Macaca fascicularis: one gene and its partners. The protein of the gene in region 1 interacts with the protein of each later gene in a biochemical or structural test. Links are inferred from orthologs where the notes say so. Each region holds a gene or a part of one and is shown in the gene's direction. Other genes may lie near its edges.

Region 1 (3,500 bases):
CATGGGGGCTGGGTGGGCAGAGGCCTCGCACACACCCTCCTCTCCCTCATGCACCTGGCTTCAGGCAGACTGTCCAGGCAGCAGCAGACACACGTGTTACACCGTGGTGTGGACCCTGCAGTGCCCCATGGAGGAGAGGGGGTCGGATGGATTGTTGCCGGCTCATTTTCCAAGGCCAGTCTCTGCTGCTTGGCTTTCAGAAGAGCTCCCTTTCACTGTCCAGCCTGAGGTGGGGCCACAGGGAGGAGGCTCACACTCTTCTCTGTGTTTGGCAGGTGAAGGGCTGGATGCACAGTGGGAGCCGGAGGCGGGGGGCTGCAGGGAGCACAGCAGTGACCAGCCCTCCAACCCTCCAACCACTCAGCAACATCGCCACAGCAACCAGCAACCAGACGGCAGCAGCCGAGGCAGACACAAGCGGACGGCTTCCCACCGTCGCTGAGGACAGGGAATGACTACGGCAAATCAGGCCACTTTGCTGACTAGGGAGGTGGAGTGTCACTAGTGGGGAGGGGCGGCCGCCGCCCGCTGCACAGAGCGCCATGCCGGCTGGAGAAGAAGCACTGGGGCAGGGGCTGCAGTGTGGCTCGGCCTCACCCCCCTGCTGGCACTGAGTGCCTCCAGGGCAGCTGGGCTCTCGTCTGCCTGGTCTCAGCGTCCCCTGTGGTAAGAGGGAGAGGCGCCCCGTCCCGTGCTCCTTGTCTGGGCCCGCTGCTGCCAGACCATGGGATGTCGGCAAAGCTCAGAGGAAAAAGAAGCAGCCCGGCGGTCCCGGAGAATTGACCGCCACCTGCGCTCAGAGAGCCAACGACAGCGCCGCGAGATCAAGCTGCTCCTGCTGGGCACCAGCAACTCAGGCAAGAGCACCATCGTCAAACAGATGAAGATCATCCACAGCGGCGGCTTCAACCTGGAGGCCTGCAAGGAGTACAAGCCCCTCATCATCTACAACGCCATCGACTCGCTGACCCGCATCATCCGGGCCCTGGCCGCCCTCAGGATCGATTTCCACAACCCCGACCGCGCCTACGACGCTGTGCAGCTCTTCGCGCTGACAGGCCCCGCTGAGAGCAAGGGCGAGATCACACCCGAGCTGCTGGGCGTCATGCGGCGGCTCTGGGCCGACCCAGGGGCACAGGCCTGCTTCAGCCGCTCCAGCGAGTATCACCTGGAGGACAACGCGGCCTACTACCTGAACGACCTGGAGCGCATTGCCGCAGCTGACTACATCCCTACTGTCGAGGACATCCTGCGCTCCCGGGACATGACCACGGGCATCGTGGAGAACAAGTTCACCTTCAAGGAGCTCACCTTCAAGATGGTGGACGTGGGGGGGCAGAGGTCAGAGCGCAAAAAGTGGATCCACTGCTTCGAGGGCGTCACAGCCATCATCTTCTGTGTGGAGCTCAGCGGCTACGACCTGAAACTCTACGAGGATAACCAGACAGTAAGTGGGGCCGGGGGTTTTCCTCTGCTTGTTCCTGCTGTCACGGGTTCTTGGAAGCAAGAGGACTCGCGAGGTCCAGGACCGTCCGCAGCCAGAAAGGGAACCAGGCGCAGGCCTGGCCCTGCTGCACGATAACTGAGGCGGCTCCAGCAAGGTGGGGGCAGAGGGAACAGGGTGTGGAGTGCAGGTGTCATGTCCCATGCCTGAAGTACTCAGGGTGTGGAGGCCACAGGGCAAGAGAGTGTGAGGCTCCGCCGGGCATCCGTGGTCAGTCCGTGTGATAGTTTGGCAAATCCATGAAGCTCCTGCCAGCACCAGTCTCCTACCAGCATGTAGGTCCAGGAACAGCAGCCAGCCCCGCAACCCCATCTTGAGCCTGAGAGTCTGGCAGAGATGGGGTTAAGAGCTCTTTAGAAGGGATAAGCCAGGTCCTGGTGGAAAGGGGACGACGTGAAAGCAGGTGTTGGGATTCTTTCACAGTGGCATGGGCACAGCCCGAGGGAGACCTGGGCCCAGTGCCAAGCACTGGGGGCTTGAGAGTGGAGTTGCTGGAGAGAGTGGGGAGCCAGGTGAAGCAGTGGAGCAGTGTGCTCAGGCCCAGCCAATACAGAAGGTCTAGCACACGAAGGGGGCCACAGCCAGGAGTGGCAGTGGTAGAGGCTGTGGCAGACAAGGGAGGGGCTGTCTTGCCCAGCAGGACGCCCTGAGCACAGATTTCAAGTCTCTCCTTAAGAGAGAGGCCTTTGACCCTGGGGATGGGATAGTGGGGGCAAACAAGGAGTCATGAAGTTGTGGGTGCCCTGGGGCTAGCGGAGGGTGATACTGGGAGACAAGGGCCCAGCCTCCCACTTGGGAGCACTGGCCTCTGAGGTCACTCCTTGCTTCACCCAGTCCTAAGGCAAGCTTTATTCTTTGGGTTCAGCCGAGAGCAACAATGGTTCTAGCTTTGGCCCTGTGCCCCAGCCAGGGAAACTGGACAGCTCCAGGCTGTGGCCATGGTGCTAGGAGCCTGAGTGTTCTGAGAGAGGATCTTCGGCTTTCATCAGGCAGCTGGGGAGGCAGGCTTGCCTCCCTCCACTCCTCGCTTCAGGGCTCTCCCTGGAACTGTGCCTACGTGTTGATGGCATGCCTGGGGGAAACGAATGATGGATGGGCAGGCAGGTGTGTACACAGGCGGCTGCATCCACCCTGCTCCCAGTGTGTATCTGTGTGCTCTCCAGGGTTCTGCCCCTTACCCTATGGTTGCCCCCAGTTCAGCCCCATGTGTGGTTCTGGGCAGAGGGGACATCCCAGCAGATGAGTGAGGTCAGGCTCCCTTGATGAGGCATGGCCATGGGCAGAGGCCTTGGGGCTGAGAAGCTGCAAGGCAAAATGAGGTGCTCAGGCTGGACCCCTGGGACAGTGCCATGGTGGGTCTGCCAGCCACCCTGCAGCTGCCAGTCACACGGGCTTGCACCACTGGCCTCATCCATCAACTCAGTGGCAGGCATGGCAAATTCCCCAGACACCAGGCCTGGCTCCCAGTTGCATCCTTTGACCGGCTGTGCCCGCAGGTGTGCTGGACCCAGGAGGCAGGATACCTGGGCCTTGAGTTGGTCCAATGTTTCATGGAGGGCTTCGGCTGTTACCTTTGCTTTCTGAACTTGTCAGTGAGGAGATGACCCAGGTGTCTTCACAGATGGGCCCAAGGCTAGGCCTTTGCCTGCCCACAGCCCTCTCAGCTCTGCCTGGCCTGTGCCTCCCACCTTGCTGCCTCTCTCTTCTCTCCTTCTGCTCCAGCCGTGGTCAACATGTTTTGCTCCAGCAATATTGCTCTGTCCAGCCTTAGGCTTGTAACGATCCTGATACCTGCCTCTCACCCCCCTGCCCTTATCCTTCAGGTCTTATCCCAAGTGGCGCCTCCTGGGAGGCCTTTTCTAACCTAGCCTGGCACCTCTACACCCCTCTATCTAGTAATGTGTGAGTGAGCTCCTCAGGGCAGGCCCTGGATGGGCTGGGGGCCGCTGTGGGCCCTCGCATCTCTAGTCTTCCCTCTCCCAGGGCTGTCCCTGGG
Region 2 (6,086 bases), on another chromosome or scaffold:
TTCCTCCCACAGGGCATCCCCTACCCATCTGCAGGCCAGACGGAGCCAGGCCCTCTGACGTCTGTCCAGGGCCTGGCCTCTGCTCTGCTAGGAGTAGACAGAAGTCCCACTCCCATGCCACTGGGCCCCTGTCCCTCGCCCCGATAACTGCTTCCTAAGAAACTATAGGGTGTCCAGAACTTTTCCACGGTTGTTTTTTTTTCAGACCCCCAAGTACAGCTTCCAGAGTTATCAGTTGTCTCTCTTTGATTGACTGAAGCCTTTGTCTCTAAAATGCCTCCCTGTCACTGCCCTGTTGCTCAAGTAGGTTGAGTCTGTGGAGTTCAACGTCTGGGACATCGGGGGACCGGCCAGCATGGCCACTGTCAACCAGTGCTTCTTCACAGACAAGGCCCTGTATGTGGTGGTCTGGAACCTGGCACTGGGGGAGGAGGCCGTGGCCAACCTCCAGTTCTGGCTGCTCAACATCGAGGTGAGGACACCAGACGCCAGCCCCGCCATTTCAGTTCCCAGAGCTTCGCAGATCCGACTGCTTTTCTCAAGCATCCCCTCTACTGAGAAAAAAAGGAGCTGTGTTCCACGGAGGTCCCCAGAACCGTGGTCCTGCTTGCTTTTCGCAATGAGGCACTTGAAACCTTTCTCTGCTGAGGGCTGGTGGTGCTCTTGTAATTTCCCTGCTTTCCTTAAATTTAGGAACCCCCACCCTTGGATCCAAAGGGGAGCAGGGTTCTCTTCCCGTTATAAAGATGTCCTTGTCTCCCTGCCTCTGATGGCTGCTGTCATGTCTGAAGGGTCGGAAATCCCTTCTCACAAGTCCAACTCAGCACCCTCTGCAGAGGAGGTCCCAGAACACCATAGACACCCCTCAATGCAACGGTCCCTCGGGGTTTACAGAGAATGAGGAGCACAGGTGCTGCCTGGGCTGACATTCCTATAGCAGTCTGTTTTGCATTACTATAAAGGAATGACTGAGACTGAGTAATTTATGAAGAAAAGAGGTTTATTTGGCTCACAGTTCCACAGACTATACAAGCATGGCTTCAGCATCTGCTTGGCTTTTGGTTAGGCCTCAGGAAGTTTTTAGTCATGGCAGAAGAGAAGGAGAGCCAGCATGTTACATGGTGAGAGAGGGAGCAGGAGAGAGAGGAGGAAGAGCCAGGCTCCTTTTCACAATCAGCTCCTCTGTGAACTGACATAGGGTGAATGCATTCATTACTGCAGGAGGGCACCAAGCCATTCATGAGGGATCTACCTCCATGACCCAACCTACCATCAGGCCTCACCTCCAACACTGGGGATCACATTTCAACATAAGATTTGGAGGAGAAAAACATCCAAACCATCTCAAGGCTGCAGATTGGTGGCTGAGCAAGGGCTGTGGCATCCGGGGTCAGCACAGCTGGGAGCTCTGTCCTGTCCCTTGTTCAGTGAACAGAGACGATACTCAGCCGTGGGGTTCTCTGTTGCAGGCCAAGGCCCCAAATGCCGTGGTGCTGGTGGTCGGGACACACCTGGATTTAATTGAAGCCAAGTTCCGTGTGGAAAGGATTGCAACGCTGCGTGCCTATGTGCTGGCGCTCTGCCGCTCCCCCTCCGGCTCCAGGGCCACAGGCTTCCCAGACATCACCTTCAAACACTTACAGTGAGTGCCCAGCCTCTAGCAGCTCCCGCCTTCATGTGGGTGCCAGTCGCTGATCCTTCCTGGGATCTGCTTACAGAGAGCTCCTGAGGCTGGGTGGGGCTAGGCCCCTTCCCTGGCCAAGGGGGGGCAGTCCACAGAGCTGACCCAGCCTTGGAGAGGGTGAAGACCTACCAGACAGCTGGCTGGGTGAGGCCTGGAGATGCCCCCTCTTTGCTTCCTTTCTGCCCTGTCCCCGCCCCAAGGGCCAGTGCTGAAACTGCATGGTGCCCATTGAACCAGGTGACTGAACATGGGCACCACCCATCCAATTGCTGCCCATCTCATTTTTTGATCACTGATCAAGGACAGACCCTGGGGAGGGAGGACCTAGCCCTTGCCTTTGGTCTGAGTGGTCCTGATAGCAGCCTTTGAGTTAAAAAAGGCCAAGAGTTGGGAGGGGCTTTCGGGTGGGCATCACGACGTGTCCATGCAGATAAGTTCAATTGCCCTGGGCTGACCTCCTGTCACTGGTTGTGGGGATTGTTTGCCACCTTGTAGATGAAGAAGCTGAGGTTCAGCAAATTGTGTGCCCTAATGGGAGTAAAATATACTGCACATTGCATTAGCTGCCCTGGCAGCTCTCAGATTCCCTCGCCCGGGGTGGAGCGTCATGGGTATTGGTGCGTGGGTCAGCCTGGGACACATTGGCCTGGCTCGGAATACGGGATGAGGCTGTCAGGAATTATTGCTTTGACCTTGAGAAAGTCCCATAGGGTCTGTGATAAGAGGAGCCCTGGCTCTGGGTCAGAACCTGAGACCAGCCTGCGTGAGCCTGTGCCTGCCCAGCTTGTGCCCTTGGGGGTCTCAATGTACCTCTGCACCTCACTTTCCTTCTCTGTGAAGTGCCATGTTTGGTCTAGGAAGACAGACTAAAGCGACAGTGTGGGGCACCCAGCACAGTGATTTGCACAAAGCAAGGCCTCAGTAAACTTCTTGTGTTGTCTTTCATGAGTTCTCCAGACTTGCCAGCATTCAGGACAAACCTCTTGGGAAAACAGAGAAGCTGCAGCACTTCCTCGGAGTGGGGCACGATGAGTAAAGACGGGTCTTTTTGCACACAGTGAGATTTCCTGCAAGAGCCTGGAAGGCCAGGAAGGGCTGCGGCAGCTGATCTTCCACGTCACGTGCAGCATGAAGGACGTGGGCAGCACCATCGGCTGCCAGCGACTGGCAGGGAGGCTGGTGGGTACCTCGCTCGTCCAGCTTAAACCAGTAGGCCTGCTTCCCATTGTTGGGGATCCTCACTTCCCCTCTCTCCTGTGAAGCCCATGTCCATGTGGCAAGGCTCAGTCGTTCTTGGTGAGGGAGGGTCAGGATGGAAGATAGTGGGTGGAAATGTCCCACCCACTCAGGCCACAGGGGCCAGGCAGGATCTGCCCCAGCTGGCGGGCATGCCTCGGGAATTGCCTCGTCCGTCTGTCCCCCAGATCCCCAGGAGCTACCTGAGTCTGCAGGAGGCCGTGCTGGCAGAGCAGCAGCGCCGCAGCCTGGACGACGACGTGCAGTACCTGACGGACAGGCAGCTGGAGCAGCTGGTGGAGCAGACGCCCGACAATGACATCAAAGACTACGAGGACCTGCAGTCGGGTGGGTGGGGCTGGGGTGGGCGGCAGGGTGCCCGTGAGAAATGGAACTGTCTGTACTTCAGCCTGGCCCTCAGCAATGAATGAGAGACCGATAATCAGCCTGTGTTTCTGTCTTCCATCCCCCTCCCCTTCCTTCTTCCCTCTCACCCTTCTTTCCTTGGAGGTAGAGAACACAAACAGCTACTCTACACCAGCATTGTGTTGGCCACAAGGGCAGACATATAAACTGATGGACTGGTCCATGCCCTCCAGGGCTGACGTTCAGTCAGGGAGACAGAGGTCAAACAGTTACAATCGATTCTCATTAGCCACAGGACTTATGTTCTGTAAAGTCACCATGATCACTGAAATAGCAAATACTAAACCAGTGCTCCTAGGAGAGACGCAGGGTTCAGCTCCTGCAAGCCTCTGGTCAGAACATTCTCATCAGCCCATCAATACAGAACCTTGTTTTATGTGTGTTGCTGCTTAAAGACACTGTACTTAATATATAGTGTTGATTTGTTGGCATTGAACTCATGGTTAACAGTACTGTTGCTCATTCCTGAACAAAACTTATCTAACACACAGGTTTTCTCCATAAGGCACATCGCAGCCTTCTCACGCTTAGGGAACTACACAGCGCTTCAGCACTTCACTTGGGACCATTTTAAACAGTGAAAGCATCAACAAAAAGCACAAAAATTCAAAAAACATGGCACTGACATAGACCACTAAGCAGGCCCCTGTTTTCAGCACGAGAGTTGAGAGTGTTGCCCTGTTCAGCCTCCGCTGGGAATGTGCACATTGGTCAATGCAAACTTTTCACCACTCAGCACATGTCTGCAAATAACCACAGGAGCATTGATTTGGGGGTCGCAGATAAATTTTAGTAAGAAGGCAAATTTGCAAAGGCGGAATCCACAAATAATGAGGATCAACTGTAGTTACCGAGGTGGCCATTAGCCTAGGACTTTGGCAAGAGTTACCAGGGGCCACCAGGGCACCTGTGATCAGGCTGCCAACCCACCTGAAGGGTCCAGCATGTGGGGCATGTTGGTTTCTTCCTAGGAAGAATTTGTGACCTGGGTCCCCTTGGAAAGTAAGGCCACCCCAGAGTCCCTTTCGCTCCTTTGTCTAACTGCTGCTTCCTCCTCTCCTTGCCTGGGGCAGCCATCAGCTTCCTCATAGAAACTGGCACCCTGCTACACTTCCCAGACACCAGCCACGGCCTGAGGAACCTCTACTTCCTCGACCCTATTTGGCTGTCCGAATGTCTGCAGAGGATCTTTAACATTAAGGGCTCCCGGTCAGTGGCCAAGAATGGGGTGATCAGAGCAGAAGACCTCAGGATGCTACTGGTGGGGACTGGCTTCACACAGCAGACGGAAGAGCAGTACTTCCAGTTCCTGGCCAAGTTTGAGATCGCCCTGCCCGTCGCCAATGACAGGTGAGGATACAACTTACCATGCCAGGCTGTGCAGGTTGCTCCCCGAAAGAGGGATTTGGGGTCTGGAGCCACTGGTGGCCTGAACAAGATTTCCAGGGATCAGTGCTGCCACTGCTGCCCCCTAGGGACAGGCCAGCACCTGATGACCTGCTTGCCTGGCCTGGGTCAGCGGGACAGTGAGCACAGCTGGCCACTCCCTCCTGTGCCCCGGGGTTCTCTGTTCAGGGAGTTAAAAGAAATCCACTTATTGAAAAAGTGTAGGAAAACGTGAAAGGATGTCATTAAAAATAATTTGTGGGAATTTCACTTTACAGAGGCTTGATTGCTTGGTTATTTGGTAAATGAGAATGAGTGGCCAGTTAGGTGGCTCACACCTGTAATCCCAACTCTTTGGGAGGCCGAGGCGGCCAGATCAATTGAGGTCAGGAGTTCAAGACCAGCCTGACCAATATGGTGAAACCCCGTTTCTACTAAAAATACAAAAATCAGCCAGGCGTGGCAGTGTGTGCCTGTAATCCTAGCTACTTGGGAGACTGAAGCAGGAGAATTGCTTGAACCCAGGAGGCAGAGGTTGCAGTGAACAGAGATCACACCTCTGCACTCCAGCCTGGGCAACAGAGCGAGACTCCTCAAAAAAAAAAAGAGTGACTGACTAGGATGTACGTGCTAATTACACAGCCTAGTTCAAAATGCAGTCCAACATGATTAAATCATGAGAGCAACATGATCAACTACTCCAGGGTGGATGGTCCGAGGGTCAAATAGAGGCACTCCATATAGTAGCTAATCATCGCCTCTTTCTGTGGACTTCTCCTGGATCTTTAACATACCCAGGCCTCACCAGTCCTAAACTGCAAACAAAACAAATGAGCCTCTCTCCTCCTTTTCCTCCTTTCCTTGCTCCCCAGCATCTGCTGCTCCTCATCACTTTGTGCTGGTGGCCAGGCAGCCCTCTAGGTGCCCCCAGGTACCCCTCCTGTCCTCTGCTGACCCTACCCCAAGTACTGACCCTCCCCTCTGGAGGGCCTTCTCCATGAGGGGACCCTGCCACCCTCCCTTCCAGCCTCCAGTGTCCTCAGCAGGCCCCTCCCCTGCACTTTGCCCAAGCCATCAATTCAGCTGCCTTGGTCCTCCATGCCCCAAAGGAAGAATTCCCAGATTTTCAGCAGGGCCCAGCATCCAGAGGCTCAGGCCTGGGCTTCCAAATTGCTCCCACCTGGAAATCTGGCATGGCGACTGACGCATCACGTCTGAGACACCTGCGTTCTCTCCTCTGCTGTCTGGTCCCACCGATCACCTTCCCCCACCCCCCACCCATGGAACCGTGCTCAGGGAGGGGCACTCTAGGCTCGAAATTCCTCCCTGTATCCGTGACACCCATCCTCACCCC
Region 3 (6,086 bases), on another chromosome or scaffold:
GCCGAGATCGCGCCACTGCACTCCAGCCTGGGTGACAGAGCCAGACTCCGTCTCAAAAAAAAAAAAAAAAAAAGCCGGGCGCGGTGGCTCAAGCCTGTAATCCCAGCACTTTGGGAGGCCGAGGCGGGCGGATCACGAGGTCAGGAGATCGAGACCATCCTGGCTAACACGGTGAAACCCCGTCTCTACTAAAAATACAAAAAGAAATTAGCCGGGCGTGGTGGCGGGCGCCTGTAGTCCCAGCTACTCCGGAGGCTGAGGCAGGAGAATGGCGTGAACCCGGGAGGCGGAGCTTGCAGTGAGCCGAGATCGCGCCACTGCACTCCAGTCTGGGCGACAGAGCGAGACTCCGTCTCAAAAAAGAAAACCTCATCGTCTCAGCCCAAAATCTCCTTAAGCTGATAAGCAATTTCAGCAAAGTCTCAGGATACAAAATGTGCAAAAATCACAAGCATTCCTATACAGCAATAATAGACATACAGAGAGCCAAATCATGACTGAACTCCCATTCACAATTGCTACAAAGAGAATAAAATACTAGGAATACAACTTACAAGGGATGTGAAGGACCTCTTCAAGGAGAACTACAAACCACTGCTCAAGGAAATAAGAGAGGACACAAACAAATGGAAAAACATTCCATGCTCACGGACAGGAAGAATCAATATCCTGAAAATGGCCATACTGCCCTAAGTAATTTATAGATTCAATGCTGTCTCCATCAAGCTACCATTGACTTTCTTCACGGAATTGGAAAAACTACTTTAAATTTCATATGGAACCAAAATGGAGTTTGTATAGCCAAGACAATCCTAAGCAAAAAGAACGAAGCTGGAGGCATCATGCTACCTGACTTTAAACTATACTACGATGCTACAATAACCAAAACAACGTGGTACTGGTACCAAAACAGATATATAGACCAATGGAACAGAACAGAGGCTTCAGAAATAACGCCACACATCTACAACCATCTGATCTTTGACAAACCTGACAAAAACAAGGAATGGGGAAAGGATTCCCTATTTAATAAATGGTGTTGGGAAAACTGGCTACCATATGCAGAAAACTGAAATCGGACCCCTTCCTTACACCTTATACACAAATTAACTCAAGATGGATTAAAGACTTAAACATAAGACCTAAAACCATAAAAACCCTAGAAGAAAACCTAGGCAATACCATTAAGGACATACTCATGGGCAAAGACTTCATGACTAAAACACCAAAAGCAATGGCAACAAAAGCAAAAATTGACACATGGGATCTAATTAAAACAAAGGACTTCTGCACAGCAAAAGAAACTACCATCAGAGTGAACAGGCAACCTACAGAATGGGAGAAAATTTTTGCAATCTATCCATCTGATAAAAGGCTAATTATCCAGAATCTATAAGGAACTTAAATTTACAAGAAAAAAACAACCCCATCAAAAAGTGGGCAAAGGATATGAATAGACACTTCTCAAAATAAGACATTTATGCAGCCAACAAACATATGAAAAAAAGTTCTTCATCACTGGTCATTAGAGAAATGCAAATCAAAACCACAATGAGATACCATCTCACACCAGTTAGAATCGCAATCATTAAAAAGTCAGGAAACAACAGGTGCTGGAGAGGATGTGAAGAAATAGGAACACTTTTATACTGTTGGTGGGAGTGTGAATTAGTTCAACCATTATGGAAGACAGTGTGGCGATTCCTCAAGGATCTAGAACCAGAAATACCATTTGACCCAGCAATCCTATTACTGAGTATATACCCAAAGGATTAGAAATCATTCTACTATAAAGACACATGCACGTGTATGTTTATTGCAGCACTGTTCACAATAGCAAAGACTTAGAACCAACCCAAATGCCCATCAATGATAGACTGGATAAAGAAAATGTGGCACATATACACCGTGGAATACTATGCAGTCATAAAAAAGGATGAGTTCATGTCCTTTGCAGGAACATGGATGAAGCTAGAAATCATCATTCTCAGCAAACTAACACAAGAACAGAAAACCAAACACCACATGTTCTCACTCATAAGTGGGAGTTGAACAATGAGAACACATGGACACAGGGAGGGGAACATCACACACTGGGGCCTATCTGGGGGTGGGGGGCTAGGGGAGAGATAGCATTAGGAGAAATACCTAATGTAGATGACGGGTTGATGGATGCAGCAAACCACCATGGCACGTGTATACCTATGTAACAAACCTGCACATTCTGCACATGTATCCCAGAACTTAAAGTATAATTTAAAAAATAAAAATAAATAAAATAATTAGAACAAAGTCCAGTAGTATGGAGGATTAGGTAATAATCAATAGGAACAGACAAATCTAATGTTGAAATAGAATAATAGATCCAGAAATTAATTCCAAAGTCCTACCTATGGTTCTTTAATGTGTGTGTCCTTGATATTAGCTTGCAATTAGCTCCATCAAGTGATAGTATCCAACGTATAATGGGCTTAGCAATTTCTTGCTTCTCTTGCTGCTTCTATATCTCTCTTCTTTCACAGTCTTGGAGTCCCCAACAACAGGGCAGAGGCTGAAGGGCACAGATCTTTTGTGTCGTATGGCTTGGCCTCCACTGAAGTAGGTGAGGGTGACCGTCCCTGATGGCAAGACAGGTCTGGGCAGGCCACAGTCTGGCTCTCCTGCCTGGCTTCCTGGGAATAATTGAGCAATTGCTCTATACCAGGCAGGGTTCTGAATGCTTCCGCATCCCAATTTCGATCACTTCTGCAAGGTGACGCAGCTAGGAAAGATGTGACTCGGGCCACTCTGGCCTCCAGGACTCCTCTTCTGACCTCTCCTCAGTCGCTGTATTAGCCGGGCCGCCCTTCCCATGTTGACCTCCTCCCATATTTGCGTGTTGGCCTCACGGGCAGCGTCATGAAGCTGCCACCATGCCTGCCCCCCTTTGGTTCAGGCCACAGGGATGCCTGGAGCTGGGAGCGGCCCTGCATAGCACTGCCTGCGGAGTCTTCAGTGCGTGTGCGTTTCTGTCTCCTTTACTGAACTGTGAGCGCCTCAGGCGGGGCCTTCCATCTGCCAGTTTATCCCTGGAATGTATCTCAGTGCTTGGCAGAGGATAAGCATTACATGTTGGATACATTAATTGATCCTAAGATTCTAAGCACTAAATTTTACGAGAAGTAGCAAAAATGACCTGAATATAGTCGCACTGTATCTGTTCAATGATCCAGACAGCTGACTCCCTGGGCTTACGCCTTCATAACGCTGGAACCCCCTCCCGCTTTGTTCCTCTCCCTCTTGCAGCCGATGGGATCAGAGCGGATGGAGATGCGGAAGCGGCAGATGCCCCTGGCCCAGGACGCACCAGGCGCCGCCCCAGGCCAGCCAGGAGCGGGGAGTCGCGGGTCCAACGCATGCTGCTTCTGCTGGTGCTGCTGTTGTAGCTGCTCATGGTAAGGTTTCAGACTTTTTAATTAATGTGCCCCTGACTGGGAAGTGTAATGTGCTCCTGACTGGGAAGTGGCACCTGTGAATAGTGGTGGTAGCTTACGGTTAATTCAGTAAGTGTTTTTTAAGCAGCTACTATATGCCTGACACAGAGGGACACCCCAGAAATAACAACAGGCTACATCTGACTACCTCTTAAGGGGCTTATGCTCAGATCCCTCAAATCAGGCCACCGTGTGTTAAACAACTAAAGAACAACCTCCGGCGGTTCACGATTGACTATCAACATTTGGGCAGAAATGGTTAGAAAGAATTGAACTAGGGGCTCTCCTGGGGTAATGAAGGCTTAGGATCTAAGATGGGTCTTAAAGGTTAGGACGATGAAGTAAAGGGAGCCTGGATTTTACCTTCTGCTGCTTCCATTTCATAAATTTTGTTTTGTAATAAAGAGAAATGTCAAAATATGTGTTTCAAATAGAGACAAATATTAAAATATATGCTAACTTACTGGGTAGAGAAAGACACACAGACAGTCATTGCTTTAAAAACGATGTAAAACATCCGTGACCCTTTGAGTAGCTGTTAAAGGTCTGGAGAAAAGGGATAATTTACACCTAAAAATCATGGGAACTTTAAGTTACATCTTTGGAATCTTGGATATGAAAAGTGCTTAGTGCCAGCCAAATCTGTGAACCATTTTCGGCAATCAAATCATCCTAAATTTATGTAGGCTTGGCAATAAGTTAGACCAAGACCTCACTGTCCTGTGGAAAAGAAGAAAAACTGATATTGGACTGATCACGGACCGCGAAATGGAACTAACAGAACTGATCCCCGGGAAGGAGATTGGAGGCTGAAAATGAAATGCCCGGGGAAGTTTGGTGGCTCCTGCCCAACTCAGGCTACTATTCATTTCCAAGAAGTTCCAATCTGGTGGAAGGGACACAGCAGTAGAACATCCACCAGGGGGATCCCGATACTGATGGTCTCTTCATTCCCACAGCAAGAGGAAACATGTGGCCGGGGCTGACAGCTAGGCAGTGTCAAGGTGAGACTTCAGCCCTGGTAGGACTCTGGACAGCTCTGCAGGAAGCCAGAGGAGAGGCGCTGGTGGTGGGCAGAGGAGATGCGTGGGTGTCCAGGGCCTGCCCTAGAGGAGGAAGACACTAGTGGTGGCCAGACTGCGTTTAGGGGCCTATATTCTCAATCTGCCAGTAGGTCTCAGTGCAGAAACGAGACGATCCTCCTAGAGATGTGCAGGATGTCCGAGTGCAGGTGAGACTCCAGCTGATGTTCAAACCTTCCCCTCCTTTCTCTGCTGCCTCGTGCGCAGGGTGTGGGAGGCGGCTGACATGCTGACCTGAACAGCATATTGTCCCGGGATAGTGTAAGGCTAGAGGGCGGGGCACGTCCCAGAGCAGGCTCCTCCTACAGGTAACAAGTAGGACAAATAAAATAATCTGTACCTAGACACTATCATCACCACCATAGCCAACACTTCTGTAGCACTTAGGTGTGTGTAGAAGAGACAATAGAGCAATGTCTTCAAAGTGCTGGAGAAAAGTAACTGAAAACTAAGTCAAACCATAATTCAAGAGTGTGGGTAAAATAAGACATTCTCAGACATACGAAGGCCAACCAAGTTTACTGCCTGCAAACCTAAAAGAACTGAAGAAAGGGCCTAGTTCAGAGGGATAAAAGGGAACCCAGAGGAAAGACCCAGGAAACAAGTAACAGTTGTAGCTACAACGGGGTCAAATATTGATATAAAATGTGGCACTGAATTTTGTGTTAAAAAAGTGTGAAACCAAAGCTGTAAACAGTCTCATGTCAATGACAGAGAAATCAAATAATTCAGACTTTCTTAGAAAAAATTGTTATAAGAAAATTTTCTTTCAAAAGCAATGTTATTCATAATTAGTCCAAAAATACACCCTATCGTTTTAACATCAGTGAAAGACAATAAATCTAGAAAACCTTACCAACACGTGACAAAAGTGGCATCAGCAAAGGAGAAAATGAACTATTCAGTAAATAGCAGGATACTTGGTGTTTGGGTACCAACTCATCCCCACTGATAGGATTTTCTCAGTTTTAGCACTGAAAAGTCCCACAGCCCAGAAAACCTGAAAACGCTAGGCAAACCAGGAAAATTGGTCATCCTGCTTGGTATCCAAATATATAAAAATATATTTATATTCCTACATAGCACCATGTACAAAAATCAATTCCCACCTTTAAAAAAAGATCAGCTGGGTGCGGTGGCTCACGCCTGTAATCCCAGCACTTTGGGAGGCCGACGCAGGAGGATCACAAGGCAGGCCGATCAAGAGATCAAGACCACCCCGGACAACATGGTGAAACCCCGTTTCTACTAAAAATACAACAATTAGTCAGGCACGGTGGCAGGCACCTGTAATCCCAGCTACTCGGGAAGCTGAGGCAGGAGAATTACTTGAACCCAGGGGGCGGAGGTTGCAGTGAGCCAAGATTACGCCACTGCACTCCAGCCTGGGCAGCAGTGAGACTCCATCTCAAAAAAAAAAGAAAAAAAAAAAGGGAATGAGTGACCCAGCACTTTGGGAAGCCGAGGTGGGCGGATCACCTGAGGTCAGGAGTTCAGGACCAGCCTGGTTAACATGGTGAAACCCCGTCTG

What was found.
Region 2: the proteins of GNAZ (region 1) and LRRK1 form a complex in vitro, tested with the Homo sapiens proteins (2 studies listed by BioGRID and IntAct, with this or other methods). The link is inferred for Macaca fascicularis from reciprocal best matches to the Homo sapiens genes GNAZ and LRRK1.
Region 3: the proteins of GNAZ (region 1) and RGS20 form a complex in vitro, tested with the Homo sapiens proteins (2 studies listed by BioGRID, with this or other methods). The link is inferred for Macaca fascicularis from reciprocal best matches to the Homo sapiens genes GNAZ and RGS20.

The regions. Positions count from the first base shown.
Region 1 is NC_088384.1:29,607,300-29,610,799, reverse strand, and holds part of GNAZ (guanine nucleotide-binding protein G(z) subunit alpha), read left to right. Parts: intron 1-275; 5' UTR 276-724; coding exon 725-1,447; intron 1,448-3,500. UniProt on the Homo sapiens protein: Guanine nucleotide-binding proteins (G proteins) are involved as modulators or transducers in various transmembrane signaling systems.
Region 2 is NC_088381.1:86,091,061-86,097,146, forward strand, and holds part of LRRK1 (leucine-rich repeat serine/threonine-protein kinase 1), read left to right. Parts: intron 1-304; exon of another isoform or gene 305-307; coding exon 308-472; intron 473-1,469; coding exon 1,470-1,642; intron 1,643-2,742; coding exon 2,743-2,863; intron 2,864-3,108; coding exon 3,109-3,268; intron 3,269-4,419; coding exon 4,420-4,696; intron 4,697-6,086.
Region 3 is NC_088382.1:63,916,163-63,922,248, forward strand, and holds part of RGS20 (regulator of G-protein signaling 20), read left to right. Parts: intron 1-3,285; coding exon 3,286-3,434; intron 3,435-6,086. UniProt on the Homo sapiens protein: Inhibits signal transduction by increasing the GTPase activity of G protein alpha subunits thereby driving them into their inactive GDP-bound form.